Astyanax mexicanus: one gene and its partners. The protein of the gene in region 1 interacts with the protein of each later gene in a pairwise test. Links are inferred from orthologs where the notes say so. Each region holds a gene or a part of one and is shown in the gene's direction. Other genes may lie near its edges. The genes, in order: dtx2, arnt2, glyctk and sec22a.

What was found.
Region 2: the proteins of dtx2 (region 1) and arnt2 interact in binary tests that used the Homo sapiens proteins (3 or more experiments, as listed by UniProt). The link is inferred for Astyanax mexicanus from reciprocal best matches to the Homo sapiens genes DTX2 and ARNT2.
Region 3: the proteins of dtx2 (region 1) and glyctk interact in binary tests that used the Homo sapiens proteins (3 or more experiments, as listed by UniProt). The two-hybrid records come from large-scale screens. The link is inferred for Astyanax mexicanus from reciprocal best matches to the Homo sapiens genes DTX2 and GLYCTK.
Region 4: the proteins of dtx2 (region 1) and sec22a interact in binary tests that used the Homo sapiens proteins (3 or more experiments, as listed by UniProt). The two-hybrid records come from large-scale screens. The link is inferred for Astyanax mexicanus from reciprocal best matches to the Homo sapiens genes DTX2 and SEC22A.

What each region holds. Positions count from the first base shown.
Region 1 is NC_064408.1:27,941,804-27,950,673, forward strand, and holds the start of dtx2 (probable E3 ubiquitin-protein ligase DTX2), read left to right. Parts: upstream 1-5,522; 5' UTR 5,523-6,740; coding exon 6,741-7,071; intron 7,072-8,870. Other genes in the region: gtf2ird1 (general transcription factor II-I repeat domain-containing protein 1), read left to right, coding at 228-256, 350-397, 514-591, 1,236-1,428, 2,230-2,267, 2,524-2,639, 3,124-3,192. UniProt on the Homo sapiens protein: Regulator of Notch signaling, a signaling pathway involved in cell-cell communications that regulates a broad spectrum of cell-fate determinations.
Region 2 is NC_064423.1:10,678,550-10,686,653, forward strand, and holds the start of arnt2 (aryl hydrocarbon receptor nuclear translocator 2), read left to right. Parts: upstream 1-4,774; 5' UTR 4,775-5,063; coding exon 5,064-5,094; intron 5,095-5,302; exon of another isoform or gene 5,303-5,409; intron 5,410-8,104. UniProt on the Homo sapiens protein: Transcription factor that plays a role in the development of the hypothalamo-pituitary axis, postnatal brain growth, and visual and renal function. Specifically recognizes the xenobiotic response element (XRE).
Region 3 is NC_064412.1:3,279,331-3,287,405, forward strand, and holds the start of glyctk (glycerate kinase), read left to right. Parts: upstream 1-4,689; 5' UTR 4,690-4,825; intron 4,826-5,135; exon of another isoform or gene 5,136-6,034; 5' UTR 6,035-6,126; intron 6,127-6,155; exon of another isoform or gene 6,156-6,400; intron 6,401-7,564; 5' UTR 7,565-7,613; coding exon 7,614-7,981; intron 7,982-8,075.
Region 4 is NC_064418.1:8,436,465-8,444,515, reverse strand, and holds the start of sec22a (vesicle-trafficking protein SEC22a), read left to right. Parts: upstream 1-4,628; 5' UTR 4,629-4,758; intron 4,759-6,717; 5' UTR 6,718-6,731; coding exon 6,732-6,913; intron 6,914-8,051. UniProt on the Homo sapiens protein: May be involved in vesicle transport between the ER and the Golgi complex.

The sequences.
Region 1 (8,870 bases):
CAGCATGAAATATATAAGGGACTTTGGACCGTAAATCTTAACTGCTGTTCGAATATATTAAACATTATAAATGAGAAGTGAGTTGTGGGATAATTACCTCATCCGATTCCACTTAATGTCTCACATTATGAATCTTGACCCAGACATAATGAACAACACCTACTGAGGGAATTGTGTTCTCACCACACAGAATGAATATAGCTTCACTGCCTTTTTTCTCTTTACAGGCCTTTCCAAGGACTTATCCCCAAACCAGGTATGTACCATGATCTCTTTTCTATGTGTATTATAACAGTTCACTGTTAAGAATATAATGAATATGGTTTTCTACATTTGTTCTCTTTGTTAGCACCACGAAGAATCACCTTATTAAAGAAGGCATATGCCTCAATAACTGGTGAGATTTTTATCTGACCTCTGATTCATGACCTCATTCTCTTTTCATTCTGTATAGAAATTCTATAGCTCAGTATTGTGAAGCACTGATAGCGTCTTTTATTCATTTTTTAATAGATGAAGAAGAGGTCAGTCGCATGGGAGAGAAAGTCATTTTACGGGAACAAGTGAAAGAACTGTTTAACAAGAAATACGGTCAGTGGAGATTCTATTATTCATCTTTTTTACACAGTATATGCTCTTATAACTTAGAAGTAATATTTGCCTTATGGAAGTATATCTTATTGGTTCCATCTGAGATGTGTTATTGATACATGGTGTCAAATATCGATTTTTGATTTGGTATTTCAGTTTTATTTTTTTATTTTTCAGTAAGCTTATGTTACACAGTTCAAAAAGATTTTAGTGTAGCAAAAAAACAGTTTTACAAGTTCGGAATAATGCTACACTTGAAAGTGTATGTGTGTGTCTATGTGTGTTAAAGAGACACAAGCAAGCTAAGCTGGCCACTTTGTTGTACATTAATTCAGAGTGGTTGTCAAATTGTTTAAAACTGAAACAACTCCATAATTTTGTGGTATTTACTTATTTAAGAGTATTTTATCCTCTTGCTGAAAGGTATCGTAGGGAATTGTGTTACTATATACCAAATATTGCAGAATCGCACAGTATTGTGATATCATCGTTATCGTGGGCAACATATTGTGAAGTGCCCAGTGTACCCCTAATCTTTATTATGACCTCTAGTATGATGCAACTGTCTAAGCATTGGCCTTTTCATCAGAAAGTTGCAAGTTCCTGTCCCATTTATTCCATTACTTCCATCATCTTGTATTCAGGAGAAGCTCTAGGCCTGGATCGATCTGTTGTTGTTCCATACAAGCTGATTCGGGCCAGTCCGGAATCACTGGAGGTTTGTGGACTTCCAGATGATATCCACTTCAGGAACCCCAACACCTATGACATAGTTCGATTAGAGAAGATCCTTCAGGCTCGAGATGACATCACCATCAATATCAAAACCCCATTACAGTAAGTCAGCAATTGTTTAAGCTATTTGGATAATGTTTAGAAGCAAGGATTATGTGGGCAATAGCAATATTATATCATGATCCATACAAAAAAAATTCTGATGCACAATTCAATTTAAGATTTTTATTCTAAATGTGCTGCATTTCATGTGATCTTCATAGTGCAATATGTAGTTTTTCAGTGTTTGTATGTAAAGATGCAATATACCAAAAAATTTATTATTTATACAGTTAATATTAAAATAATTATATCATAATGATATCGTCCCTAATTCAGACTTCTGACTGAGAGACAGCTAGAAGGGACTGGGTTGGGTAACAAGTCCTCCACACTGCTATAAAGTTTCATACTAATGTTTTGCCATATGATCATGATCACTTTGTATAAAAACAATAAATATACAAATATAACATAAAAACAACTACATTTACATTTAATTCAATTGGTTTTGGTTTGGCCAGTAGTTTGAACAGAAATACTCTACATATTATGTTTTATGAATAGGTTAATTTCTAAAAAATAAATTAAAGGAATAACTTTATCAACAATGGTTATATTTGTTTTTTATTGATTGTTTTTTTTTTTATTATTATTAAAAGTGTATTGAAAGGTGTCCTTAATTATGTTTTTGTCGTTCATTTTAAACAGTTGCCAAACATTTGGGAAAATCATCTGTTTTTGCTACTACACTATACAGTACTTATTGGACTAAGCTGCTTTAATGTCTTGTTTAGGTGAAAGCATGTGTGTAGTACATTTGATACATTTCATACATCTAAAAAAAAACTTTTTTCTGTTTAGGCCTTTTGTACAGCTTTGTCCCCAGACCAGCAATACAGGTAGGTTTACCTTACTTGATTTGATTATTTATCAAATATTGGAATCCCTCCTGTATACAGCCTTGTTTGTTTTTGGATGCACCTAGTCAAATTGCATGTAATTATTATTTTTCTTTACAAATGTAATTGTTCACTTAACAGATTCTCTATAGATCCTATTTATATCTCTATCCTTTTTGTTTTCACTTCAAAAATCAACAAACCATTGCACAAAACTTTAAATTCATGCTATGTTATTTTGCTCATTTTCCTGCAGAAGGGAAGGAAGTGTCAGTCAATAGACGTAAACGCAAGCGGGTCCTGGAAAGCAGTCAAGCGACCGCTCCCTCAGGAGCCGACCCTGCTGCTCCAGCCAACCAGATTCCAGTGATGGTATGGAAAACAGCCAGTAAACAGCCCTGCTTGTACCAGAATATTTAATTCTACATTATAAGTCAGTGATGTTAGTAGTTCACCCACCAGATTTTCTCCATCACCTTCCTTCAAAGAGTTACATGCTCTAAGTATCAGTAACATTTTATTTTTTATATTATTATTATTATTGTACCTGTAGTTCCACACAATCAGTATAACACCTTATAGGTGAAACTACATGATTGGATCAAAAATATGCATAGCATTTAGTGCTATTTATTGCAAAGCAGCTAGCTACTTCTGTATATGGACAGAATTAACAAGTAAGCTTGGCTTGAGTACAATGGCACAGGTAAGATCATTGTGCTGGCTAATTTCAGCCCTCTAAATAAAATGTTTAACATAAAATGTTGATGTATATGGATTTATTTATTCATTAATTATATGAAACTAGTTAGATTTTTGTTTAAGTGTCTGATACTCTGTTGTTCTCTTCCTGTAGCAATGGCCCATGTACATGGTGGACTACAGCGGAGTGAATGTCCAAGTTCCAGGAAAGGTAAAATACTAGTGGACCACCTCAAAGCCCCTCAGAAGAGGAAGAGGAATCCTGCGGGGAGGACGTGGTCAGACTGATATCCGTTATAAAAATCAGCTGTTTTTGGAGTGCTGTGGTTGATCTCGCAGTGTGACGGGGGACCTTTGTGTATGCTGGCAATCACAAACTCTTTGAGCGTGACGACAAACAGTACAAGGAGTTTCTCATTACAGTTTCAGGACGGCAAGTGCTGAGACGTGAATTTGCTGTGCAGTAACCTGGAATCGTTACTTCCCAGTTTGTCAGTGCTTTATTTTTCTGGAGAGGCTGCTTGTAAAAGGAGTGTTTTCATTTTGTTTTATTTTTATTTTATTTTTTTATGTTTGGTGAACAATGCTTTGCATCATACACTGGCAGTCATAAGCAAATGCTCAGTTACACATAAGAGCTTATAATATTTGTCTGTTACAACACATTTAAAAAATCTGGAAAAAAGAAATTCTAAAACATTTCTATATATGAGGAACATATCGTTTTAACGCTTGAATAAGGTGAATAACTTGCTGGCAGGAAATTCCATTTATATGTGGGGTTGAGCGACGTGTGTGAGCGTGCATTTTTATTGGAAAATTGTGGGTGAATATTGATTTTCCCTGTTTTAGGTTAGCAATGTAAACCTCATAGTTCCAGTTCTAAACTAAAGAAGCACAACTGGGCTACCAAGCATTTTGTGGTTTAACAAGATTCAGATCAGTTGTAAAGGAGATTTTTTGTTTAAGTATTACTTTAAGTGAGAGAAGTGATAGATCCCCTGAAACACATGGAAACACATCAAAAACCATTATCAAGCTCATTTGAGCTATTCAAAGTGACTGCCAGTGTAGGGTTGCCTTCTTTTTAAAGGCCTTTGAAACAATAATGGTTGACTGACACCCACACTGAGGACACAAGTGATGGATTCTGTTGGGAAACATTATTCCCAGACAAGATTCATTATCCATAGGATGCAAAACCTCGACTGGTGCTGAGGACGTACACATGCGTACTACTCTCGTAGTAACTGGTTCTTATGCCTAGCTAAATGTTTGTATTATTATTTATTTATTTATTTAAATAAAAGTAAAGAAACATGTATATGCAGGGAATGTAAACAAATCGGCACAATGCATCAAGTGCTGAATGCCATGACTGATAACACTAAAACAGTTAGCTACTGATATATTCCGTTTTTTATTTTATTTTTTTTCTTCTTCTTCTTCTTCTTCTTTTCGCTTCAGGGGTTCATGGTCCTACAGTGGAGCATCCTAACACAATAGCACTAACTTATATTCCAATGAAAGACTTTATCATTATTGTAGTGGTGTAAGTCGCTCCGACGTTCATAGAACGTGGAGGACAAGTAAGATAAAATTTGATGGAGACAACATCATGAATGTATTGTATGTAAAGGAAAGAATGGTATAATGTTATTCTGTAAGGACTGTCTCTGGAATTACCAGTATTTATATGCTGTACCTTAATGCCATTTAGGCCTTTCAAATAAAATGTGTTGCCTTGCGTTCATTACTTTTGAGTGTTGTAGTGCTTTCATGGTTCGATGGTATAATACAAGCTACGCTTTATTTATTTAACAGATTTGTTTTTGCCTCTCAGTGCTTAAAATATTTACTTTAATTTAAGGTCATTTTAAGGATTATGGTAAACTGCAGATATACTCATGCATTTGTATTTGCATCCTGTCCATTAAAATCATTCATCTGTCTCCACCTGCTGGTTAAGACTAAGAAACACATGAAAGAACATTCTGTACATTCTCTACACAAAGTACTGTATCAAACTAGAGACTACTTCAGCTAAAAAGACATAAAAAAAGATATAGTTTACAAATGTTTATCATCTATCTGTAGAATTATCTGTCATCTAGAAAACAGACTTGGTAGCAAAACACTCCAAGCTGCTGTACATCTGAGATAAAGTTAACATAAGTTATATAGCTATATGTTGGATTTTTTTTTCTTTTTTAAATAACACTGTTTCTAGATTTGTAGGACCATTATTTGATTCGATTTAATTTATTTTACATTTAATAAATGCAAATGTGATGAGTATTTTTTTGTCAGACACAAAAACTGTCAGGATAATGTTTCAAAATAAAAGTCTTGCAGCGTTTGAATTGAGAAACCAAAATGTAAAAATCTGATAGTTTTTGTTATTAATAGATATTTTGATACATTTATTTAATCTTGATTTATTTATAGCTTTAATAGAAGCTGAACATGAGTGCCTTTAAAAATATTATATAAACAAACTGACTCTTAATTGTATTAACGCTCTACTTTCTTAGCTACAATATTTTTCAAAGCTCAAATAACGGACTCATACATTTATACTCATTCATACAGCTTTACACTAAATAGCTCAATGCATCAAACAAATACTGGACACGTAGTAACAGGTAACTGTTTTACGGGTTAAGCTGAATTCCATCCAGTTTACTGTGTCGTTTTCTGTGATGAGAGCAGTGGAGGGGACCCTGCGGTTGGCTGGTGGTTTTGGTTTCCGTTGGTTTGTTGTGTTTGGTCGCTGGACTCTGCACAGAGACGGCAGGGCGAGCAGCCGGATGGGTGAGAGGGGGGCTTCGTTCAGTGGAAGAATTAAGGCGTTTTAGAAGACGATAAAGACGACACTACCAGAGACAAGGACGTGGTTTGTTTTACTGCATCCTGGCTTAGCTTAGTTTTAACCGTTTATTCGCTGTTCGGCCTCCTGGAGCTTTAAAAATGGCTTAGCGTTAGCTTCACAACATCGGAGCCGTAGTAACGAGCTGTAAGCTAGACAGCCGAAGCTAGACAGATAGCTATGCTAGCTAAGTAGCTAGCTATCAGCTGGCGGATGAAGATGCAGACTCGCACGACTCGTTTCAGCTTAAGTTAAATAGCTAGGGTTAATTTAAGTTATTTGTTTGTAGCTCGCTAAGCTAGTTGTTGGTTTTGCTTAGCAACCGGACGAACGAGCCCGGTTTTAGTTAGGCAGTTAGCGGTAGCTAGGTTATCAGTTCAATTCGTCGAACTTGGTAGCTAGCTAGCTAGTTAGCTTAGCTTGTACGCCAGTCAGCCCCTATGGAGAGACTTAATACGTTTGGTTGACAAGTATTTACTAGCTACCTAACCAACAGCAGCAGCAGTTTATGTAATTAGTTAGTTAACCTAGTTTAACAGTTAGTCAATGTACTGCTTAGCTGTAGTTTATGCTAGCTTGCTATCGCAGGGATTAGCTAGCAAGTGACACTAACATTTGTGTGTGTGTTTTCAGTTAACTAACTAGCTAACCTAGCTAGTTAGCTCAGAGGCAGCAGTCTATGTAGCTTAGCTTAGTTAGTTAGCTGGCTAGCTAGGTTACCCTAGTGCAGTTTAGGCTAGCTCGCTGTCGCTGGGGTTAGTTATCTAGCTAGCAAGTGACACCACCATTTGTGTATGTGTGTGTGTTTCAGCTAACCTAGCTATTAAGTTAACTAAATAAATAAGTACGCCGAGGTCCTCCTAGCAAGCCAGGTTAGCTAACTAACTAACTAACTAACTAGGATGGCCACGGCTTCTGGCTTTTCTGCCTCCGGCGTGAATGGCTCCAGGAACGGGCCGTCGCTCTTCTCCTCCTCCTCCACCGCCTCGGCCTCTGGTATACCCGGCCAGGCGCAGCCCATGGTGGTGGTGTGGGAATGGCAGGACGACCTAGGTTATTGGCGGCCTTACAGTGGCCAGGTGAGCTGCTACATCGAGCAATGCCTTCAGCAGCAGCGGGGGGCCAGGGCAGGTGGGCCCGCCGCCACTAGCATCTCCCTAGGCCAGACCGACCCCAGCCTGGCAGCCTATATCATCGACATCCCGAGCCTAAAACAGTTTCGGCAAGACACTGGTAAGTCAGGAGCTCGCAAACATACAATGTGGTTCTGTGTGTTTGTGTTGTCATGTTTGTTAATTTAAACTAGTGGTCCCCAACTCTAAGACTTTGGAGAACGTCTAAAGCAGTGTTTCTTTACCACTGGTCCTTGAGACCCACTGCCCTGTTTATTTTACTGGTTCACTGGTTCATCGGCTTTAACAAGCCACGTTTAACTCAATAATAGGTTTCTACTAAGCTCACTTGTTGGATCAGGTGTTGGGTGGCTAAAGACTATTTTTCCCCTGTCTTGCAAACTACAGCTCTGGACAAATAAGAGACCACTTAAAATGACAAGTTCTTTGATTTTACCAAATTGAAAACCTCTGAAATATAATCAAGAGGAAGATGGATGATCACAAGCCATCAAACCAAGCTGAACTGCTTGTATTTTTGCACCAGTGGCATAAGGTTATCCAAAAGCAGTGTGTAAGACAGGTCTAGGAGAACATACCAAGATGCATCAAACTGCAAATAAAAAAAATAAATTCCATCAAATATAGATTTTTGAACTCTTAAAACTGGTTTCTTTGCATTGTTTGAGGTATCTTTTTTTGTTATTTCAGCCATGTCTCATGTCCCATGTCTGCAAATAAATGCTCTAAATGACAATATTTTTATTTGGAATTTGGGAGAAATATTGTCCGTAGTTTATAGAATAAAACAACAATGTTCATTTTACTCAAACATATACCTATAAATAGCAAACTGAGAAACTTATTCAGAAAATGAAGTGGTCTCTTAATTTCTTTCCAGAGCTGTATAACAAAATCAATATTAAAGTTGTGGTAAGATGAAGGTTAAAGGGCTTAAAATCATTATTGATGATGGTTCTCAGGCTTGGTCATGGGACCGCTGTTCTGCACATTTTAGTTATTTACCCTTGTGGGGAGTGTGTTAACCACTACCTCATATAATCACACATACATCATGCAAAAGACTATGCTGTTCATTAAACACTGTAACATAGACTATTAGTAACGGTTACATTTTTCCTTGTCTTTTATCCATATTGTTTCCACTGCCATCAAGAATTTGCTGACTAACAGGGTTGATACATTTATCTGTTGGCTCATCACTGTTTCTTGTACACCACTGAATGTTTAACAAAAATCTATAAGTAGTGCTTCATAACTCTCTCAAGACTTAAGAAGTTTGTTTCAAGTTTGTTTATTGGATGCAGCATGTATGGCAGGTGACAATTGTTATTGTCTAGTAAAATTAGTCCAATTTAGTCTATTTAAAGTAATAATGAGCAAATTATATGTTGCTAAGTGTCAAGTTTTTAAACATAAAAAATGCTAATGCATTGAAATGTAATGTAAAGTTCAATCTCAGCTGAGGTTATTGTTAGGTATTTTCAAACGATACCATTACTTCAACTCAGTTAAATTAGGGAGTGTGTTGTAATTTCCATTCACTTAAATAAATGTCTAATGCTTAATCTTATTTAGTTTATTTGTGATATCTCTGTTTTTTCTGACTTGTAACTATTACATTCCAGCTCAAAGAATTATAAAAAAAAAACATATGTACTTTAGTTATTATTTCACAAACATTGATATTATGTCAGTACTTATGTCTTCTTTTCCCTGATATTAATATTATTATAGTGACCGTTAAGACCCTCAAAAAGAAACTGAGCTAATACACATCAGAAATCACAATGCTGAATTTTCCATGAAGTCTTTAATAATTTTCCTTTCCATTAAATCTGTGAGTCTGGTGCCCCAGTCATGTTTTACAGTTCTCTTTTTGCTGTTTTTATTCTGGGT
Region 2 (8,104 bases), on another chromosome or scaffold:
TTGGACTAATGGGGTGCGTATAATCTAATGGGGCAGTACTGCAGTCCTCAAAACACCCACCGTAAAAGAGCTAATAAATGCGACTACCTCCTCCTGTTGGGCTAAACCAAAGGAACTAATGTGAGCCATTAACACTGCAGCAAGCCCGGCTATATGCACTAAAACCATCGCTGTTAAATTAGCTCTGCTACACAGAGCAAGTTTCTCCTCCAGAGTTACATTCCATTAAGCCTGTTCTGAACAGCTATGTAGGAATTAATGCAACATTAAGGCTTTTACTGTGAACAATCCAATGAAGGCGTGGCAGAATTGGATGTAGAGGAGCTAAAAGTACAGAATTAATAGTGGAAAGAGCCTTGTTTTGCAAATAACTCATTTTAAGACTTAATTATTTGTTACATGGATTACATAAGATAAGAAGTAAATACAGTTATATACATCCAGCCAGCATTTCAACATTTTAAAATGTCATTCACAGCTGAATTAATATCATATTAAAGTCAATTCCATGTTGCATTATGTTTTGATTTTGAAATAATAATCAAAGTTGACTTTTGCAACATTGTTTTAATATCTTTTTAACATTACATAGATTGTACAATATACATAGCTATGGAAAAAAATAAGAGACCACTTCAGAGACTTTCTATTTATAGGTATATGTTTGAGTAAAAAGAGTTGAGTTGTTTTATTCTATAAACTATGGACAACATTTCTCCCAAATTCCAAATAAAAATATTGTCATTTACAGAATTAATTTGCAGAAACTGAGAAATAGTAGAAATAAAAATATATATATATTTATAAAGTTTTAAGAGTTCAGAAATCAATATTTGTTGCAATAACCCTGGTTTTAATCACAGTTTTCATGCATCTTGGCATGATCTCCTCCACCAGTCTTACACACTGCTTTTGGATAACTTTATGCCTTTACTCCTGGTGCAAAAACAATCAAGCAGTTCAGTTTGGTTTGATGGCTTGTGATCATCCATCTTCCTCTTGATTATATTCCAGAGGTTTTCAATTTGATAAAATCAAAGAAACTCATCATTTTTAAGTGGTCTCTTTTTTTTCCCAGAACTATATTTATATATAAGCACCAACACAACCACAAACCATATTCAGCTGAAAAGCCTCTTCTTCAGATTAAATCTCAAATTAGTTCACACACTTTACTTTCTCCTTTGTTGTTTTATATTTTTAACACAAAAATATAGATATCTGACATTATCTTATCTAAAGCAAAGTACTAATAAAATAGGGAATAAAATTAAGAATATCCATTTTCTGGGCAATTCAGAGTATCCAATTTGACTGATAGTGTCTTTGGAAACATGTAGAAACGAGGAAAAGATGAAACTCCACCCAGATAGGGACTTGAACCCAGGGCCCAAGTGCTGGAAGGCAGACATGATAACCACTAAGCCGCATGCCACCTGAGAAATAACAAATAGGCAAATCTCATTCAAAATGTATATTAGGAATATTGTCTTACATCATAACTTTTCAGTCATATATTAAGGTTTTTTCATTATTTTAAAATATATCCAAACTATGATATTATGTTTGTAAACAAACATGTTTTATATTTTAGATTCTTCACAATAGCACCCCTTGCTTAGATGACAGCTTTGTGCATATTGGCTGGAATAGCATTCAGTTAACAGCTGTGCTGAACTTATCAAGAGTTGATGACTTGAATTTCTTGTCTCTTAACGTGTTTAATGTTTGACAGCATCAGTTGTAGAGTTGTAAAGAGGTAGAGTTACTGGTATACAGTAAATAGCTCTATTGAAGTAATATTCTAATTTAGATTACGGCAAAAAAAACGTTAAGACTTTAAGAAGTGAGGGTCAGTCAATCCGAAACATTTCAACAACTTTGGAACGTATGCTCGAGCGCAGTCAAAAAGACCATCAGAAACTTTATGATAAAACTGGCTCTCATCAGGAACACCAGAGGGAAGGAAGAATAGAACAAGAGTTACCTCTGTTGCACTGGATAAGTTCACCAGAGTTACCAGCCTTAGACACCACAGTTAGTTAACATCACCCCAGATAAGAGCACCTAAATGCTTAAAAAAATATTAGTTTTTTATATATATATATATTAACAAATATTATCAAGTTCACCAGAAAAAAAACACAACATATCTTTGGTCTATACTTTAGTCTGCAATCCAAAAAAATATGAAGTAAATGTTACAGAAACACTTAGTTTTGCATTTATTATAATGATTCCTGCTTTGGCTTTGAGGTTGTATTATAAAGCACACATTAAAATTTCCACTTTGAAGGTCACTGGGGCATAACGGGGAATGGCAGCCAGTGAGATGTTTCAGTTTATATAGAGCTGACCACAAGCCTGGAACAAACAGCAGACTCTGTAATAAGCACAGAGCAGGACTGTGGTACAGAAGCTGGTCAGACAAACATTTCAGTCATTTATAGAATTTTGGGTTCAATGAGTTTTTTACACCATCAGAAGCCCTTTCCTCTTTCTGTGATGTGGCGTATTAAACATCACACACACGCAGATGCTCTGCTAAACTCGCTGGAAGTAACTAAAAGCAGACTAAAAGAGCGCCTGTGGATTCTGTAGGATAATGACCTCAATAAGGGTCTATTCATGGAATACATCTGACTGGATTACAGCAGCAGATTAATGAGGAAAGCCCTGTGGAAATACAGTTTAAATTGTCTTGGATCAGGTGTCCTTGGCCTCCAAATCCAAAAGAGCCCTCTTCTGTCTGAACTTGATGAGCCTAAAGTGGAGTTTAAGAGTTTAAAACTCTGCTTTAAAGTTTAGCACCATAAATGGTAGAATGAATGTACATTTTAAAATTGGTAACAAACTATCTGCTTATTCTCTACAGTGGTTAATGTTATTATTAGGACCAAGACCAGGACTAGATTTAAGATTTAGATTTAAAAAGGTAAGTTTTAGGTTTGTGTAGAGTTTAAGGTTAAGTTTTGGGGTAATTAACCAAACACAAAGTTTATTAATAAAGAAAACTAACTTACAGGGATAGTCAGAGGAGTAAGAAATAGAGAACTGAGTCTGAAACATAAGTGCAATAAACAAATGAACCACACAGTAGAAGAAATAGAACTAGATTTAATACTGGGCCACAAAGCCAAAGAAACAGAAACAGGGGGGTATTTATACTAATAGGACCAGGTGTGTGTAATTAGAAGCTTGGTGAGTTAGAACGCTGAAACGTCACATGATCAGCAATGTCCAGGAGGTCTAGTCTAGTGTTGGTGGAGTCTTTAGTGTGTGTAATAGAGTTCATTGTGGGCAGACTTTCAAAGTCTGGACTGACAAGACAGCTTGAATCTGAGTTACATGTCAATAACATATACAGTATGCTGAGTAAATAAAATAAAAACAAAAATTTACAGAGAAAATAAAAATGAGCAGAATATAAACACGTGCACATATAAAATATTTTACTTACTAAGTAAATTATAATTGTTTGTAGAAAATAATTTATTTTTATTAAAAACATGCCGTTTTATAAATAAATAACAATTTCGCAATAAATGAATTTAACACATACTGCTAATTAAATTAATAATATTATTTAAAGTTCTCTAAAGTTGCAAATGACAGTGAATTGGCCATCATTTTTTATTAGAAAATGAATAAGTATGGTTTTTACAACTATCACCAAAATAATTCAAGTGTTTGCTTTGTAAATAAAGATTTTGTTTTACTTTAAATTTGCTTATTTCAACCTTTAAAATTCCAAATTGTAAAAAAAAAAAGAAATGGCAACTGTGCTCTAAATGTTGCACTAAAAATTTATTTATATACTTTATATATTAATATAAACCTATATATGCGAGTATTTATTTATCATTTTATAATTAAAAATAATTTGATAGATTTTTGTAAGTGAATGAAAGATTTGTGCTCTAAAAATCATTTAAGTAGTGCTTAGAAAATAAATCATATATCTATGTAAAATAAATTTAATCTAACATTATTGGCGAATTTTGGCTTTTGCTTACTAAATATATAATGCATGTTCATTTTCAGAAGTAAATTAACAATTTTTGACTATGCACTTTTTTCAACACAGAATTAATTTTTCTTGTTTTTTGCTTTGTTAAAAAACAATAATTGTTTGTGAGCAAACATTTTTTTTCTTTAGAATTTGTTTTATTAATTAATTAATATGTGTGCATATGTGTTTTTTTTCAAATTAATTTAATTTTAAAATATATTAAAATTTGATATATTTTTGTAAGTAAATCAATCAGCATTGTAGTAGTGCTGCTAAGCTATAATAGTGGGGCTAAGTATATAAATAGTAGATCTTTGTAAAATAAAATAAAATATTTTTGCTAAATATATATTTTGTGCTACTAAACATATATATTTTTATTTAGATAAAAATATTTTATCAAATTAAAACATATATCAAACATGTTTTCATAAGTAAATAAAAGAAATGTGATCCAAACACGATTGTGTTAATATATTTGTACTTAAACAAAAAAAATCTGATTGAGTGATTTTAGATATATTTATATATTTTTAACACATTCAAACCTACACCAAACCCGTTACCTAATCTTATTTTTGTGTTTTGAACTGTATTAATTAGTAAATTGATTAAAAATGTATTTAACTGTTCTTTCTTACATTCTCTAAAAGCTGCACTATAGCTGTCCCGCGCGGAGCTGCGCGCGCGCGCTTGTGTGTAATGAGCGCATGCCCAGCAGGGCGCGCGGTAATGTATGCAGGCTGAAGTCTCGCGGTGTTTCCGCACCTTTCAGACATCTTGCGTTATTTTTTCTGTAGCGAAGCTCCGCAGCAGCAGAGCCAGGGCTCCGTACAGCAGGGCGGCACGGCCATCAACCCACACAGCCCGCGGTAAACACCCGCCCGCCCCTCCTACACCCTCCGCCCCGCGATCGGGCGGCTCGAGCTGCTGGCCCGGAGCTCGCCACTCGCTGCGTGCGTCACCACCGTCCAGATCCCCGGGCTTACCGACGCCGCCGCCGCTGCTGTTATTATTGTTGTGTCCGTTTTTCTCCGGCGAGCAGCGGAGCATGGCGACCCCCGCCGCGGTGAACCCCTCCGGTAAGTCTGATCTTTGATTATCGAGGGTTTGATCGGGGGAGACTGGCTCCGGTGCTCCTGCGCGAGTGACGTTTTCCCGGTAACAAAAGAAAGGATCGGTGGGTGAAGAGGGAGCATCACCCCTCCTCCTCCTCCTCCTCCTCCTGTTTCTCCTCCTGCTCCTGATCCTTCATCACCTCCTCTTCCTCGCTGTGCCAGCCCTGCTTTAACATCCACACTAACACCAGCTTCAGCTGATCACTGCTCTCACAGGCTCTGAGATGATCTTTAATGGTTGGTAAGCTGATTATCCAGAGGAGAACGTTCCCTGTACTGGTAAGCTTGGCTAGATGGTTAACCAGGTCTGAATTATAATGGTGTGTGATGGGTTTGATGTTTGCCAAGCTGTTGATGCTTGTCGACCATATGTTGCAGTTGATTTTGGTAATGGTTGGTTATAACATGGTCATTTTGGTCTTGGTGGTCATCCAGCATGGTCATCATGTTGGTCTTGTTGGGCAACGAGCATGGGCATGTTGGTTTTGAGGCTCACAACTACCAGATCCAACATGACCATGTTGGTTGCCAAACAAGACCATGCTGGTTGATCATGTTGGGTCTGGTAGTCAAGTTGTACTGCTAGGTCATGATCTTGATGGGCAACCAGCATGGTTTTGTTGGTCCACCAGCTTGGTCATATTGGTCTGGGTGTTCTATTAGCCATCTTGGCTTGCTGGTAATGTTGGTTGACCTGCTTGGTCATATTTGCCAAGCTTGGTCATACTATTTGATTAACGTGGTCTTGATGGTCAGCTAGCTTGGTCATGTTGGCTATGCTGGTCAGTCGAAGGTGTTTTATTTTAGTCATGATTAGGTATTGGTGGTCAACCACTTTGGACTTGGTTGGTATTGCTGGTAATGCTGGTCACCCAACTTTAGTCTAAATGGGCAACCAGCTTGTTTTTTTTTGAAGAACCTGCCTGCATTCATTGTCAAGCTTGGTCATGCTGGTTGCCCACCCTGTTTATGCTGGTCATATAGCTTGGACTTGGTGATCAAGCTTAGTTATACTGGTTCTTCAAATTGGTAATGTTGCTCGTGTTGCTCAACCAGTTTTTGCTGGTTTTGCTGTTTTTACTGGTCATCCAGATTGGTCATGCTTGTTGTCTAGCTTGGTAACATGGATTATGCTAATGAACCAGAAAGCCCAAGCTTCATCATATTTATAGTTGTCTGGATTGGTCTGGTTAAGGCTAAAACATGTTGATCTTGGTGGTCGAAGAACTTGAACATGTTTGTCATGTTTGGACTCATTGCTGAACCAGCATGGTCAAACTTGTTGGTTTAGCTAAATCGTCAAACTCAATAAAGAAATAAAGTAAAACGATTGGGTCTCGATATGTAAAGATATTTTCATTATGGACAGTATTTATGAGATTTTGACATGCACACAAAATGCCGTAGTTACACAGATTTATATGCATATTCCAGTAACGTTTATTACAGTTTGCTACACTTTGCTGTAATCAAATATACAGTCACATGGTGTACTTTTAAGCACTGACAATATACACTATATGCTTGTTAAAGTGTATTGTGTTCTAGGAGTAGGCAATGTGGTCCAAAAATAAATGTATATAAAAAAAATGTCTTTAAAAGTGCACAGGAAATAATAGACAGTTTTCAAGACACAATGTGGTCATTATCACAAGATTTCTGTGTCACAATAAATTGTGTATGAATAGAGTAGAATAAAATCACAATATTATTTGGGTATGTTTGTGATGACTATATTCTTGGCAATATGGCAAAACATTGATTTTTTATTATTTTCAGGAATATTCTACTACATCAAAACAATTTTGTGTAAATGAAAACAGTGTAACAAAAACAAAATATCTACCACAAAACTTCATATTCTACATACACTACAAATACAACACACAGCTCTGGAAAAAATAAGAGGCCACTTAAAATTAAAGATTTTCTTTAATTTTACCAAATTGAAAACCTCTGGAAAATAATCAAGAGGAAGATGGATGATCCCAAGCCATCAAACCAAGCTGAACTGCTTGAATTTTTGCACCAGGAGTAAAGCAGCATAAAGTTATCCAAAAGCAGTGTGCAAGACTGGTGGAGGAGAACATGATGCCAAGATGCATAAAATCTGTAATTAAAAACCAGGGTTGTTCCAACAAATATTGATTTCTGTATTCTTAAAACTTTATTAAATTAAACTTGTTTTATTTGTGTTATTTGAGGTCTGAACGCTTTCTCATTTTCTGTAAAAAAAATGCACTAAATTTATAATATTTTTATTTGGAATTTGGGAGAAAGGTTGTCTACTCAAACATATACCTATAAATAGAAAAATCAGAGAAACTGATTCAAAAACTGAAGTGGTCTCTTATTATTTTTTTTTACAGAGCTGTATTTAGTGCATGTAAACCTGAAACAAACAATTCAAAATAAATACATTAAATATCAAAATAATTACAGAACAAGCTGCTTTTTCTTAAGAAACCTATCGCAATGTCACAATATAGATTTTTTTCATCATGTCAGGATTTTGGGCGATATCATTGCCTATGCGTATGATATGAAATGGCACACACTTATTGTGTTTCATGATTACAAAATGTATCACAATATGTTAAAATATCATTGTATTGCCCACCCACACTTTATGCACTTCAGCTCTGCAGTGCGAGCTGCTCTCTAAAGTCCTCTAATGCAAATCAGGGTCTGAATACATTTACCACAATGCACTACGTGATCAGCTCTGCGCCGCTCTGCTTGGCTCTGCTCGGATCTCCATTATGGTCCAGCTGGTGGCTGGTTTTTGCTTTGTGCCTATAGAAGCCGGAGCTTGGGATTAGCGGGGCTTGCTGGCTGTGCCTGTTGATTCCTGGTGGAAGGTGGTCTTAGGCCTGCCTGCCTGTCTGGAGTATTCGTTTAGTTAAGAACTGCCTGCTTCAGTCTGTCTTGGCCTAAAACTGAGGAAACACATTTACTGTTTGTTTACAGTTGG
Region 3 (8,075 bases), on another chromosome or scaffold:
TTAATGCAGACTGAATGTCCTGCATAATATGTGTTTATTATAACAGATCACACCCAGGGGCTCTGGAATCTTTAAAGCACAAAGACAATAAGAGGGGCACTGGCGTATGGGATAGCATTATGAGCTCGTCCAATTTCTCTCCGTTTTGCTGTAGGCTAATGGAATAACGAGAGCCTCAGTACCATAAAGAGAAAGCCCATGATAAATGTTAATGTGAGTATGACGAAGCACCAGCAGCAGCTAATTCTGTTTCCATCCTTTCCAGTTATCATTATTCCCTCATATCCCTACTAATTGAACACAGGGAGGAGATACATCTTAGTCATTCATGGTGAACGGGAGCTAAATCGTCTCATGGAGAGAAAAAGAAAGAAAGAGAGAGAGAGGGAGAATAATGAAAGCATGTAGACCAGGGTTTTCTCAGCTCCATGTAGCACCACATAGTGGCCTGCAATTTTATTTGCTGTTTGATTAAAGCACAATTATACCACAGTTAGTTCTGACTCTGTAATTCCATAAGTACCGCTATCAGCCGATAATGCACTGTAACCGAAGCTCTCCATATATTACTCCGCCCCCTACAGGTAACCTAGCAATGATGCAGCGCTTACAAGCCAAACAGCGCAGCTACAAACAGAGCATTTTCAATGCAGCTAAAATTAAAGGAATTAAAAATTAAGGGAGGAGCATCCAAACGGCTTATAGAAGCAAATGATTCCTGACACCAAACTGTTTCAGCTGATTCTCAGAAAATGGATAGATGGATTTTTTTGTTGAGCGTTTATAGGGGAAGTCGAGACCCAAGTGGAAATACAAAATCACACAAAAAGCGAGTTCAGTATATCGTATTTTTTGCACTTTAAGGTGCACTTAAGATCCTTTAATTTTCCCCAAAATCATCAGTGCACCTTATAATCCGGTGCTCCTTATAAATATAAAAAATAGACCAGAAAATAAATATTTATTGATAGTGTGCCTTATTATCCGTTGTGCCTTATAGTGCAAAAAATACAGTAAAATGTCTCCTTTTTAAAGCCTTTGTGAAACTTTAGGCGAAGAAGTCATTGATAGGGAACACCCTCTCCACTTCGCCTCATTTCGCCTTTAATCATGAGATACAGCGCTCTGCTCCTCTGGCCATCGCTGGCCGATCTCTGACATTCAGCTTTAAAGGAGTACAGAAAGAGCGCGAGCTCGCCGTGAGGGCCAGAGAAGAGAAAGAACGATGGAGGAGGGAAAGCAGGATGGTGAGGGAGGGTGAGGAAGGTGAGGAAGGGGACACTGGTACTCTGAAATGGAAATGCCAGCCAGCAATGTGACCTCGCTCCATCTGCTCGCCAAAGCCACCCGCGAATAAAGCAGTGTACATCAATTATCCATGACTAAACAAGAAAGCAGGGTACAGTCAGAACTTCACAACAGCAAATAAAGGACTACAGGAGTTTCACACTTTTAGCAAAACTGTAATTTGGCTCATAATAATAGTGGATCCCTTGTGGAGCAATAAATAGTCACGTTTAATGGTACCTATGAATGTAATAATATTAAAGGTCTCATTCCATTGTTTTTTCCTTAATTTTAAAATGTCTAGTTGTGGTCTATAAATGAATGCTATATGACGATAGGATTTCGACTCTTACTCATCAATATTCATACATGCAAACATATAGCCACTGATTGGATAACAGCCCTGCGACACCAGGAAGCAGCGAGAAGGACACCAGTTTGAAACCTTTTAAAATAAAGATTTTTTTACATTAATAACAATCTTTACAATGTCATATGTTACTTTACAACATGTGTAATAATGCCCTGCTAAGTTCAGTTCAGCCACTGACCTAGTCTTAGAGTCTCTGTAAAACACCAAATCCACCGGAGATCCTATTTAAACCTGTAGTTACACAAAGAGGTGGGTAGTCCAGGTCCAGAAAGTAAAAATCCACTTTTAACTAGTGTAAACAGAACTGTTCTAATCATACACCTACCTATCTCAATTGTACTTGGCTGCTGGTGTTTTTCCTCCATAGACTAATTCTCACCATTTGTTTCTTAGCTCTGAATTACTGGGTAAAGCATATAAACACTGATGTGTTATTCGCACAAATAACACAGGAATGAACTGCATGCTGTTCCTAGCACTGTTATTTAGCTCTTATTTGATGAGACGGCGTCGCTGCTCGGTTTCAGCTCTGCCTGTGGGCGGGCCTGAGCCGAGGTGGGAAGGGCCTTGAATACTAATTCACGGGTTGGCATAGACACAAAGCTTTTCCTGATTCTGAATATTTTCTTTTACTAGCTCCTGCAGATAATGGAGGTTGAGGAAGAGTTTCACGTGCATCATCCATATACAACTACATAAACAACCTACTGTATTTCACAAAGAACAAGTGAAAAAAAAAGGATTTTAATGGAAAATGTTGTACAGTGGCTTGCAAAAGTGTTCATACCCCTTGAACTTAAACATCCACAAACTTAAATGTATTTTATTTTTAGATTTTAAGTGATATAGCAACACAAAGTAGCACATAATTGTGAAGTGGAACAAATATAATGCATGGTTTTCAAAATTTTAATCAAAATAAAATTTCTAAAAAAAGTGTGATGTGTAAAAGTATTCAACCCCCTTTTTACTCTGAAACCTCTAAATAAAATCTAGTGCAATTAATTCAAAGTCTTCAGAAGTCACTAAATTAGTTAATAGAGCAACAGTCTGACATCCTGCGCAAGTTGCATTGTGATGTTCATTGCTATCTTACACCCTGCCAACAGTCTATTTTCACTCCTTCCACCTGCATTGTTTAAATAGTAACAGTGCTTCTAAAAATGTCTACGATCTCTCTCTCTCTCTCTCTCTCTCTCTCTCTCTCTCTCTCTCTCTCTCTCAGGGGGTCTCTGATTACCCAGGAATGATGATGTCATGTACAGGATGGTACAGTCGCCTGCATTGCTGCTGACTCCAGGGGGATTTCTCTCTTTTCTTGGAAGTTTCATTACTCCTATTAAATAGTAATGTAAACATCTGTATTTTAAAACATTGCAATCATGTGTATGTATAAGTTATATGTGTATATTTATATTTTTTTGTTTTTATATTATTGTGTTTTTACTACTGAAAGGGACTTTGCAACTGTTTTTCACTCACCTGTACCCAATACTAATGTTATGAGACTGTAAATAAATCTGATTTAATTCATTTGATTTCATTTGTGTAATTATTTTCTTTTTCTGAAAATGCTGTACACGGTATAATATCTGAATAAAGCTGTATGTTTAGTATGTTATGTAATATTACCATCTGCTGCCCAGTTTAAGTAACTACAAGTGGAAAAGTTATCAGAGCTGGTTTATGGAGACACTGCCCACTTACTGTCTCCGCCGTTATATCAGAAAACACTGCCCACCGCTAGAGGGCGCCCGCGAGGGAGACCAAAATGTACAGGAGTGAATGGAGCTAAAGAGCTAAAAACTCTAATTAACAATATACATTAACTACTTTTCCAGAATGTTCCTTTAGTTTTAGACATCTGAATAAAGTATTTCGCTAAAAAAGGAAATAAAACCTACCTGTATTTTTTTAATTTTCTACAGTAAACTGTTTTTTTTTTTCAGTAAAGGTGCAGCATTACTGCTACTGTGAGCTACTGTGACTAGTTAGTGATCTGATGCTGGAGATACAGACAGAGCTCTAAATTTAAAAGCTTAACAAGTATGTATGCAAAAATGTTTTTTTATATATTGTTCTGTGTTAAAGAAATGAGAACATTTGTCAGTATAAAAAAATAATTAAAAGCTTATTTTTATTACATTTTGCTCAGTTGCCCCATATGCACCCATACAGAACTCTGGTGGTTTAAACACACCCAGAAAACACACTTAAGTTGGTATTCTCCTTTGTAGAAGCTCTCTTTCTTTCTACTGTCTAAGGTATTTTGCTTTTTTTCACTTTAATTCCTCTAGAATAGCAATATGTGCACACATCTAAGTACCTTCATCTTTATTCTCCAAAATGTATATTTGTTTTTCTTTTCATTTAGTGATTTCCAAAAACACACCATTATAAAGGACGTCCAATATATATTTTTTTAGTATTTAAATAAAAACAAAGAACCATAAAACATTTACATTAACAAAAAAACCCAATCTAATTCAAAACAACAAAAAAAGTCCTTCCTATAATTTAAAATGGGTGCAGTGTTTTTTATTTATTAAGAGATTACATACATAAAATAAAGTTCAAAAAAGTTTAAAAAGAAAAACACATACAAAATGTATGATCTTTACTTTACGTCAATTTTTATCTGTAAAGATAGCCTATATGTGCAGAATGTTTTCAGAAGGGGATGAACACATCGTAATCAGCTTTTTTGGAACAATATCTAGCTAGATATTTCTTAAAATATTAAAATTTATAAAAAATAAAGAATTAAAGATACTGTACATATATTAAGATACTGTACATAAAATGTAAATAGCTTTTTTTAACCAACGTTAAGCAGCTCTAAAACTGTTTTTTTTTTTGTTTAAATAAATGACTTTGTGGTTACATGTGGGGTTAATCAATTATTGAATAATGAATTATTGAATTCTTCAAGATATTTTAGTTACATAAACTGTTTTGAAGCCATACACCCGACAACGCATCACTTTCAGAATATAAAGACTTTTATTTTGAAATTAACCGCAAATCCTCCGGAAGTGTGGTTGTTTACATAGTGTTCTCGGTATTGCTGGGGTATTTACTTTAATATCAGTGTTTATTGGACAGTAATAGCTTTAGAAATCACCAGTAAACGAGGGAAAGGCTACACACTGATGGCGCAGATGAGTGAGTATATTGTGTTTAGCTCTGTTACTAATTACAGCAGAGCCACTCCTAGTTCTGTTCATTCCCGGATCCGATGCTTTAGTGAGTCGATTTAAAGAGTCGATTCCTAAAATAAACGTTATATAATATATACAGTACCAGTAAAAGTTTGTACACTCCTTGAATTAAGTGTTTCTCTATTATTGTTATTTAAGAATGTTCTGCATTGTAGATTAATACTAAAAGCATCCAAACTATGATGAAAAACTTATGGAATTATTTAGTTTTAAAAAAGTGCTAAACAAACCAGAATATATTTTATATTTTATATTCTTCTCCTTCTTTGGCTGAATTTTCTCAGTTAGCTTTATGAGGTAGAATCACCTAAAATTCAGGCTTTCAGTTAACAGCTGTGCTGAACTCATCAAGAGTTAATTACTTGAATTTCTTGTCTCTTAATAAAGTGTTTGAGAGCATCAGTTAAAGTAAAGTAGTGAAGAGGTAGAGTTACAGGTATACAGTGAATAGTGAATATTTGAGTAATGTTCTAATATCTCATGTTATGATAAGCAAGAACTTCTCAAGTAATAAAGAAAAAAAAATGATTTTAAGAAATAAATGTTATAATGATGGAACTGGCACCCATCAGGGTCGCCTCAGAAATCGCAAGTTCCCAGCTCCCCAGATAAGAGTATTTTTGTTAGTTTAAAACGTTTAAATTCCTATGTGATTCTGTGTGTGTTCACAGCCTGGATCACTATTCACATTGTAGAATTGTAGAACTATTCATATTCACAATGTAGAAAAATAAGACAAAAATAAAAAATAAATTGAATTGAATAAGAAGGCGTATCCAAACTTTTGACTGGTCCTGTATATAATATGTATAATATATAACTATTATAATATGACGAAAGTAAAGGCTAAAAGAACATAAAGTAGCTAGGTTAACAAAAAAATATATATATTACGAATCACTTTTTGGAATAAGTGAATCTACTCTTTTGAATCGCGCCCAGCCCTCTGTACCCAAATCTCCTACATATCTAAGATACACTCAGATTTACGAGATATAATAGAGATGTTGTTTGGAATCGAGTTCAGTGCTTTGAATTAGACTCCCTGCTCCCAAATTGTTTGAAATCAGTGAATCGACTCTTTGAATCGCTTCAGTTCTACAGTTCTACACTCCCCTTTTCACCCAAATCTTCTAACAAGCTTCGTATTTAGGATTTACTGGATAATCTCAGGATTTCTGCAGAGTTTTTTCCTGATGATCTTCTGCTGACCCTCTGATTTCTCTTCCAGATCAGCAGCTGTGGGTAAAATACTATATTTTCTTTCATCTCAGAAGTTAAGATGAAGTTTTTACATCTGAAACTTTGTTACAAAAAGTGCTTTTAGGCTTCTTTCTAAAATTACAGAACAGAACTGGACCAGACAGGACCAGACTGTCCTCTTTGCCCTATGGACAGCTGTAGTTAATCATTACTCACACAGTACACAGGTTTGGAGGAATGGGGTTCAAGAAGAGGCACATAGATTAACTTGTTTTTGGTGCTGGTGTGTGTGTGTGTTGTATTCTAGGCTGTGCTGGTAAGTAAGATCATTTCATGATGACTCATAAGTCAGAAACTCATATGTTTATTTCAATTTCAGTTTCAATTGTATATATTTATGTTTTTACGCTCTCTGATTATATAACACCAGTCATGAAGTTCAGCATTTGCTTTATTGTGTACAGATGTTTTTTTTTTTTACCATGGGATATAATTAAGCAATAATACATGTGAGGTAGTGCTATAACATGTAATATTGGCCCTGCTGTATAGCACAAAACTCGAGTGCATTATTGTGATTATACCACAGTTCCATTATCGCTGTTTATCAAAAGATTTAGAGTTAAACAAGAGGAGAAAATATGTTTGGTTATAAAAACTCCATCAGTTAAAATAGTTGCTCTGTTTGTAGCTGTAGTGCTGTTTGGTTTGTAAGCGCTGCATCGTTGCTAGGTTACCTGTATGTGGCGGAGTAATACGTAGAGAGCTTCGGTTACAGTGCATTACCGGCTGATAACGACAACTCATAGAACGCCTCTCAGCCAATCACATTGCAGGGTCGGAACTAACTGTGGTATAATATGCAGTACGAATTTTTGTCAAAAGTTGTGTGTGCAGAGCAACATATCGTTCTCAAGCTTAATTTTTCACCTTTTCAAGTGTTGTTTTTTTTTTCTTCAGTTACTCCTTGTGGAGAAAAATGAAGCTCAAGATCAATGTACATATTTTTATTTCTAATTTTATCCCATTTTCTTCCCAATTTACAAGGCAAATTACCCAACCCACTCTTTAGAACTCCCCCTAGCAATCACTAGTGATTCTCCAACACCAGGAGGGTTAAGAAGACTAGCACACGCCTCCTCCGACACATGTAAAGTCAGACTCTGCCTCTTTTTGAGCTGCTGATGTAGCACCGAGTAGCATCACAGCGCTAACACTCGGAGGAAAACGCAGTGACTCGGTTCTGATACATCAGCTCACAGACGCAGCCTTGTGCTGATCCACATCACCCTAGGAGTGATGAGGGGAAAGAGCGCCATCTACTGTACTGTACCCACTGAGAGAGAGCAAGACCAATTGTGCACTCTCAGGACTCCGACAGCCGTTGGCAAGATGCATGAACGGCATTTGAACTAGCGAGTTTTTTTGCGCCCCCAACTTTTAACATTAATGTGACGCTTTAATCCCTCTTTTATTCCAGGTGTTCGGTGGCTCCTCTGCTGTTCCGGTGTGGATGATCTGATTGGTCCATGGCTCGAGTGCTAAGCCTCTCCCGCTCTGTTCATCACTGGCGCCCCCTGTGGGCAGGAGGACCGGCCGCTGCCCGGGTCAGGAGGATGTCGTCTCTGGAGGAGCGAGCGAGGGTGGTGTTCGCGGCGGCGGTGGAGGGGGTGCAGCCGGACAGCGTGGTCCGCAGGGGGCTGCAGCGCCGCGGGGACGAGCTGCTCGTGGACGGACGCAGTTTCAGGCTCAGTAATAATCTGCACCTGGTGGGCTGCGGGAAAGCTGTGCTGGGGATGGCGGCGGAGGCAGAGAGGATTGTGGGAGATCATCTGGTTCAGGGTCTGATTAGTGTTCCTCACGGTATTCAGGAAACACTGCAGCATCATGGGAAACAGTAAGTCTTTCAATCACAATGCTTCTGTGTTGATGAACAGACCCATATGGAAATCTGATCACAACATTTAGATTCAAAATAAATAACATACATT
Region 4 (8,051 bases), on another chromosome or scaffold:
CCGATTATCTGTTCTGGAGAGATAAAGATTTTCTACTCTTACTCTGAAAGCAACAGTCAAAATGATGTACACCACTTGACAAAAGATCCATATAAACTCCTTTTCTTCTCCGTTCCACAGAGATGTAACGGCTACAATTGGGAAATCACAGTTTTCTGTATTTAATTGAGTTTTGTGATGAAAGAGGTACGACTTGCCTGCTTGTCCTGCTCTATTCTTCTCTAGGGGGTTATGTGGTGTGAGCATGTCTGCGTTGGCTTTGTCTGGTCTTCTTCAAATTCATCTAGGGTTTTGTGAGATTAAAAATCAACAGAAAATTGAAATTATGAATAGAGAAACTGGTTCTATGGGGAAAACACACATAGTGTGTTTATTATAGTCTGCTTATTGATTTTATATCCATCTGCTTCATTTAAACTGTCTTACAGTTTTTCTTTGTTGACACTGTGGGTCAGATTATACAGATTCACAACGAACCACCAGACTTTCTATGACATTAAGAGGAAACTAAGAGTTTCTCTCTTAAAACACGGCTGCACAATGCATATGATCTGAATCAGTTTCTCTGATTTTGCTATTTATAGGTTTATGTTTAAGTAAAATGAAAATTGTTGTTTTATTTTATAAACTACAGACAATATTTCTCCCAAATTCCAAAAAATATTCCGATACATGTAAAATCAGCCACTGCCTCTTTTCCATCTGCTGCTAATGCAGCATTGCTGAGTAGCATAACAGCGTGCTTGGAGGAAAGCGCAGCGACTTAGTTCTGATACATCAGCTCACAGACGCCTTGTGCTGATCAACATCACCCTAGGAGAGATGAGGGGATAGAACAAGGCCAATTGTGCTCTCTCAGGGCTCCGGCAGCTGATGGCAAGCTGCATGACCAGGATTTGAACCTGCTGATCACAGCTCTATGAATATGATGTGCCTGCTATGACCCCTGGATCCCTTCACTGTCTCTATAAGCAAATATATCACTGTTTTACCATCTGACACACTTCTTCTGAAAAGTACATTTGTATGCTGTCCTACATTTATCGGTCAGTCTCTGTACTGTGGGTAGAAATTCTAAATGCATTTAACTTTATGCTCTTAAATGGACTTGTCCAAGAGAAGGACATTCAGTTCTACTGATCAGCCCTAGAATACAGAGCAGATGTTTCAAACTCAGGATTTACATTTACATTTACTTTTACATTGTATTAACTGTAAGTCCTTATGTTAACTCACAGTTTGTATTGAACTATTTTATTCTCATTAAAACATATTGCAAACTGATTAAGTAAAAATATTTCAGAAAAGAGCATATCAATGGTTACATAATCAATGATTATCTCTCATTCTCTCCTTCTCTCACTATAATGCAGCCTAAGGATGATAAAATCTATTTCAAAAGCCTGTCAAGCATAATAAATCAAGCTAAAACACACACAAAAAGCAATGCAAACAAGTCGTTACAGCGTCTACCACATGAGTAAATACTTCAGTAATTTAATTTGCTATAATGATATCATCTGCTTCTTTAGGAAACAGCCTGCTGTAGAAAACTCAAGTACCAGATGTCACCAGTAAGTAAGATAATAATCAAACTCTTGCTTGAGGATCCAGGCCAACAGAAGAGAGAAAAAAACATCTTTTCCTTCCAAAGTGGTCCACAGCATGTCCAAATTTTTGTGGACATTTTCTCATCCAGTGTTTCTTCTGAAATAAGTGGTATTTATCAAACAAATGCCTCATGTTTTTTTTGCAGTAAAAGCCTCTACTCCAATAGAGACTTTGCACTAGATGCTTTGAACATTGCTGTGAGTATTTAATTGCACCCAGCCGAGAGAGCACGAGACAGGTCAGCTTCTATTGTGGGGGGCCATCAGCCACTCCACAGTCCAATAATGAGGGCTCTGATGTTTTACAAATGTTACAAATATTTCAAAGAGTAACTAAACCACCTGTTCTAGCTGACTCCACCCTCAGCTCAAATTTGAAAAATGCCTACAAATCAGAGGAGTAGTTTGGGAGGGGCATTGGGTGATGTATGGGTTTAGGGACAGGGCGGGGCAGAAGGGAGAGATGATTGGGCTGAGCAGTGTGCCTCTAATAGCAGTGAGACCATAGCCTGTATATAAATATGGACAGGGCGTCCCCATTCACTCTCATTATGGCATTTTGAAGCCAAAATATGGCCGAAATGGAACATGCCATCTTGTGTGCGCTCACGCAGTAGAGGCAAATTGGAGCCAGAACTGGCGTGGCACTGGCCAGTGCCTTCACCGTTCACCAAAACTGGCATTTTCACCAAAAAACTTGTTATTTAACTGCTAACCTGAGTTGGCTACTCTAGTTAACTAGTTAGCTAGCGTTAAGTAGTTAATGCTAGGTTAAAAACCTAACCTAAATAAAAAAAATACACAAGAACAAAGAACAAAGTATGAATACAAATTAATTGATGGAGGGAAATTATCCACATACGGAAAAAACTGCAGAGAACGTTTGCCTGAGGGTCTGTTACATAAGTTAACTGCAGAATAAGCCATTGCTTTACTTCAGATATCTCATTTTTAAAGTAAAATCCAAATGTCAGAAAGAGCCACAGTGGCGGTGCGCGTTCACACTCTCAGGCGACCTATCAATCAACTTGCCCTCAGCTGTCAATCAATCACCACATGCTACAACCCTTTAAATATCACGGAATTACTCCTATAAAACTTCAATTGAATGGAAATAGGCGGGGTTAAAAGTTGTACTGGAGCCAGCCACCAGAGGGCGTAAGAGATGTAGTGGCTTCACTTAAGCAATAATACACCAGAGGGAGTGCTATAACAAAGGCCGAGTGCCGAAGATCAGCACAGCAGTGCCAATATGACACGTTATAGCACGAACCTTGAGTGTATTATTGCGATTATACCACATTTCCATTATCACTGTTTATTGAAAGATTTTGAATTAAACCGGATGAGAAAATGCGATCGGTTTGTTTATAAACACTCCGCGAGTTAAAATAGTTCCATTACTACTTTAGCTGCGCTGTAAGCTCTGCATTATCGTCCATTTTAGTCACAATTGTGGAAATCTAAGCGTAACGTTACTGTAATTAAACGTAAGAGCTTTACCCTCACCCAAATAAATTTTTTTAGGAGGGAAATCTGTGTGGATTAGAGGTCCAGCGCTCGTTTGACTGAAAGAAAATGTTTTTTAAGAATTAAAGTTTTGTTTACTTCGGCGCCCCCCAGCGGTAAGACCTGCAGTATTACAAGAGTCCACCTTACATTCAGATTAAAATACCCTATATTAACTGGAAAATATATACACTTTTAATATAATAATAACAACAACTCTTAGCCTGATATTAGTGGCTAATAATGTGTGTAATAATGTCTATTTTTGAATAAATTTGGATTTATTTATTTGTGTGGCACCGCGTCTTTGCCTGCGCCCCCTATTGGAGACATGGCGTTCCTTCACTGTGCCTATGGAATCCAGCGCCCCCCAGTGGTGTTTAATGACATCGCATTTGGATTGTATTTGGCTGGTAATCGTTGCTAGGTTACCTGTATGTGGCGGAGTAATACATGAAGAGCTTCGGTTACAGTGCGTTATCGCCTAATAATGTCGCTCATAAAACGCCTCTCTAATTTTGGTATAATTTTCAATAACTGTCGTTCTGTCAATACTTATATACAGTCTATGGGTGAGACGCAGATTGTTGGACATCTCCAGGGGGGTGGGGTTATTGATAGATTGATTTGCATATTGTGAGTGTGCATTTACCAAAGCACACAAAAACGTCATCTTCGCCTATAACATAGTTGAACTTATGAGGGCGCTGCAGAGGTGGAAATAACTGCAACTGTAATCAAATGATATGACAAAAGTCTGGAAGAACACTGATAATGTATTAACACTGTAACAATGTAACACTGATGATGTATTCATTATTTACAGTTCCAGTTATAATACAAAAAAATAAGACAAGTATTTGGAGTTCTATAAAACATGAAAATCAAAGGCTTATCATATCACACTTTAATGCACTTGTCCAAGCCCAAAACAGATTAGATTTCTCTCACTGAACACAAAAAAAGAACTGAGGTAGAACAAACATAAAATTGCATATATTGCATTTTTGTTTAAAGTTAATGATATTGGTCTTTTGAAAATCTAGACTTTTTGTGTAAAGTTTTGTAGCTGATAGCTGTTAGTTTTTAAACTCTATTCATATTTAAAAAAAAAAATTCATAAATGTTCATTAATTATTATTATGTGTTAAATATTTACATTGCATCACTGTAATGTTAAATTTACTGTCCTTTATTAAGATATAGCTAGATATGCTGGTCTTTAAAAAAATATCCGTCATGTGTGTGTCAGGTTATGGTGCTAGTCAGAACAATGCTAAATGTTTACAGTTTCCTAAATTGAACCATCACATATTTATGAAATAATTATATAATCCACTACATTTTATTGTATCATTGTAATGTTTTATTTACTTTTTTATATAAAAGGGTTATTTTAAATGCTATATAGGCCTACTGTGAATATGCCTCAGAATATTGTCTAGGTAGGGAGCGTTGTGTTGTTTGGGACAGAGCCGCTCTTAATGCTGCTACTGCTGCTCCTCTTACCCATAATGCTCTTGGCTCAGACACGTCAGCGCTGGTGTATGGCTGCGTCCTCCCGCGGCGGAGCTGACAGACACAAACAAGCGGACAGAATGATGCTAAAGTCGGGACTCCAGCCGTTACCGGTGCCGAAGTGAGTACCGTCAGTGCGGGACGCGGGCCTGCTGCTGCCGGGGGCGGGTTCTGGTCCTGGTTCGGCCTGTTTGTGAGAGTCTGGGCTCAGGTTTGAGCTGCTGTCACCCAGCAGACAGTTATAGCTAAGCAGCTAACCAGCTAACAACAGTCTCTGTTTATACACAGTGACCGTAGACACACACATTATACTACATGATTTAGGTTAGACAGAGGTGTATCTGAAAGAGCCTGTGTTTGTTTATCTCATGTGGGCAACAGCTGCCAGATGCTGGAGAGATAGCTAGCTAATTAGGCTAATTAGGTTAATTAGCTCTGGTTTGTAACAGCTTGGTGTGCTAGGTTAGTTAATTTCGAGATGTTCAGCTTGATGACTGTGTAGTTTACAGCAAGTAATGATAGCTAACTATCTAGCTAGATAAACTCCCAGACAGTAGATTGAATATATTAATATTCAACACTACAATTGCTGTAAGTTTAACAGGCTTTATCCAGTGAATTAGACTAGCTAACTAACTAGTAAGATAAGCTGATATGCAGTAGATTAGCAAAATATGCTAATATTTATCACTGCAAATGCTTTAAATCTGTCAGGCTTATCCACTGAATTAGATTAACCAACTTACTTATTTACTTACACACTATCTAACTAACTAACTAACTAATCAGCTAGTTAGATAAACTGCTGTAAAATGCTGTAAATTAATCACGCTTATCCAGTGAATTAACTAACTAACTAACCAATTAACCAAGTAACTAACTAACTAACTAACTAACTAGCTAGATAAATTCCCAGGTAGTAGATTAAATTACTAAAAACTTCAAATACTGTAAATGTATTAGGCTTATCCAGTGAATTAGGCCAGCTATCTAACTAACTAGTTAGATAAGGTGCTAGGCAGTAGATTTGCAAAATATATTAATATTCAACACTACAAATGCTAAAAATCTATCAGGCTTACCCAGTGAGTTAGTTCAATTAACTAACTAACAAGCTGTATAAGCTGCTAGGCAGTAGATTAAATATATTAATATTCAACATTTCAAATGCTGCAAATTTATCAGATAAATGGTGGGATGGAAGATTATGCTTAATTTGTTTATTGTGAAAGATAATATGAAACATACATCATCATAACAGAGAAACACAACAAAAATACACACACACAACCCACCCTCTCTACTAGATGGTAGATTAAAAATTATATTAATAATCATCACTTCAAATGTTGTAAATTTATCAGGCTTATTCAGTGAATTAACTAACTAAGGAACTAGCTAGCTAGATAAACTGCTTGGCAGTAGATTAAATATATTAATATTCAATACTACAAATACTATACATTTCTCATGCTTATCCAGTAAATTAATGCTAGTTAGTTGTCTATGTTTCCTGCTGAGGAAAACAACATGACCAGCTCAAACTGATTAACCTTCTATGGCAGAGTTTTGCCCTTAGGCAACGAACACAATTTCATACCTTTTTTAATGTGTTTACTAAGTTGTTTTTTCTTTTGGGCAGCATTATAGAGCTAGAACACTTGCTGTAAAACATCTGATTCTGTTGATCAGTTTGTTATCAAAAGTCAAAAATATATATTTGACATATTCACAGGGAATCCCAAGCTTTTATCCTCCCAAAAAAACTAATGCCACAGAGGGTTACATTTAGTTTACCAGCCAAAGTGTATGTTCTCATATGATGTTCTCATTGATGTTTAATATGGTCTGCAAGCATGATCCACATGGCCAAGCTGGATAACCAGCATGTCCAAGCATGATCAAAAAATCAAATGCATACACTATAGCAGTCGAGAGCTGGTTAAACAGCTTTGTTACCAACAAGTAAACTGCCCAAACAAATAGTTTATTTCTGGATTCTGGATTACCAATTAACTCTATGGTGACAACTACATTCAAATGCTCAGAAATAATGGAATGCTCTCCTACACTCCTGCAGGATCCTGCTGTAAGATGTCTATGGTCCTGTTTGCCTCAGTGGTGCGGGTGAGGGACGGCCTGCCTCTCTCTGCCTCCACTGACTATGAGCAGGACAAAGGACTGCAGGAGACCAAGAAGCACCTCAAGGGTCTGTCCAAAAAACTCAGCCAGTTCCCTGACCGCTGCTCTCTCAAGACTGGACAGTACAATGTCAAGTAAGGATTCATTACTATCTGTATGCATCCCAATGCACTGTTGTGTGTTCTCGTTTAAGGGTGTAGAAAAAAACTGTATTCAACAGTGTTCCGCTGACTCTGAGATTCTGGGGCCTCATGTACTAAGACTTGGGTAAAATTTCTACAAAAATATAGCGTACAAGTACCGTACGCTTATAAAACTCCAGATGTATCAAACCATATGTAAGCAGAATGCCACGCACTCTCTCTTAGTACATCACAATCAACGACATATTGAGCGCACCTGCAGGAACACAACACTCCTCCTTGTCTCCGCCCTCAGTTATGCAGATTATAATATGCTAATTAGTATAAACAGGCCTTGGAATACTCTTACTAGAAAAATGGTGAAGATAAGATGCCATAAGAGGCATCTTGGGCCAAAGAAATCCCAATAATCAGAGTAAACACACTCTCAATAAATTTGGCCATTGGCAATATCTTCCAGTAATGCCAACACTGCCATTTACAACATATAAATCAATATAATCTAGATAGATGGATGGATAGATGGTAGATGATGGATGGATAGATATATGGATGGATGAATATTGAGATGGATGGATGGATGGATAATAGAGAAAGAGATTGATTGATTGATTGATGAATGGATGGATGGATGGATGATAGAGAGATTGATTGATGGATAACTGGGTGGGTGGATGGATAGATTAATAGATGTATATATAAAGATTATCCCAGGAACATTTAAACTCCAGCAGCATCATTACAGTACACAAATAATACACAGAAGGACCAGAGGAAAGGAAATAAACAAAAATGGAGAATATACAAAAAAACAGTAGATCCAGCAAAAGAAGTATTGCACATTATTATTGCACTTGGTTTAATATTATTGCGCATAGTCCGGTTTGTTATTTTTAGGTTTATAAGTATTAAAAGAAAAATGGCATTAACAGAATAAACAAAAAAAGTAAACACAGTATATACAAAAAGAAAAAAAACTAAATAACCATGACGATTATTTTGGTTATTTTCCTAATGCAAGATTATATTTGTTAGAGTAGTGTCAGGTTTAAGTATTTAGATATTATTTGCCCAAACTTAGAGTTTGAAAACTACACGTATTTCAGGCACAGCCTTCTGAAGTCAGCAG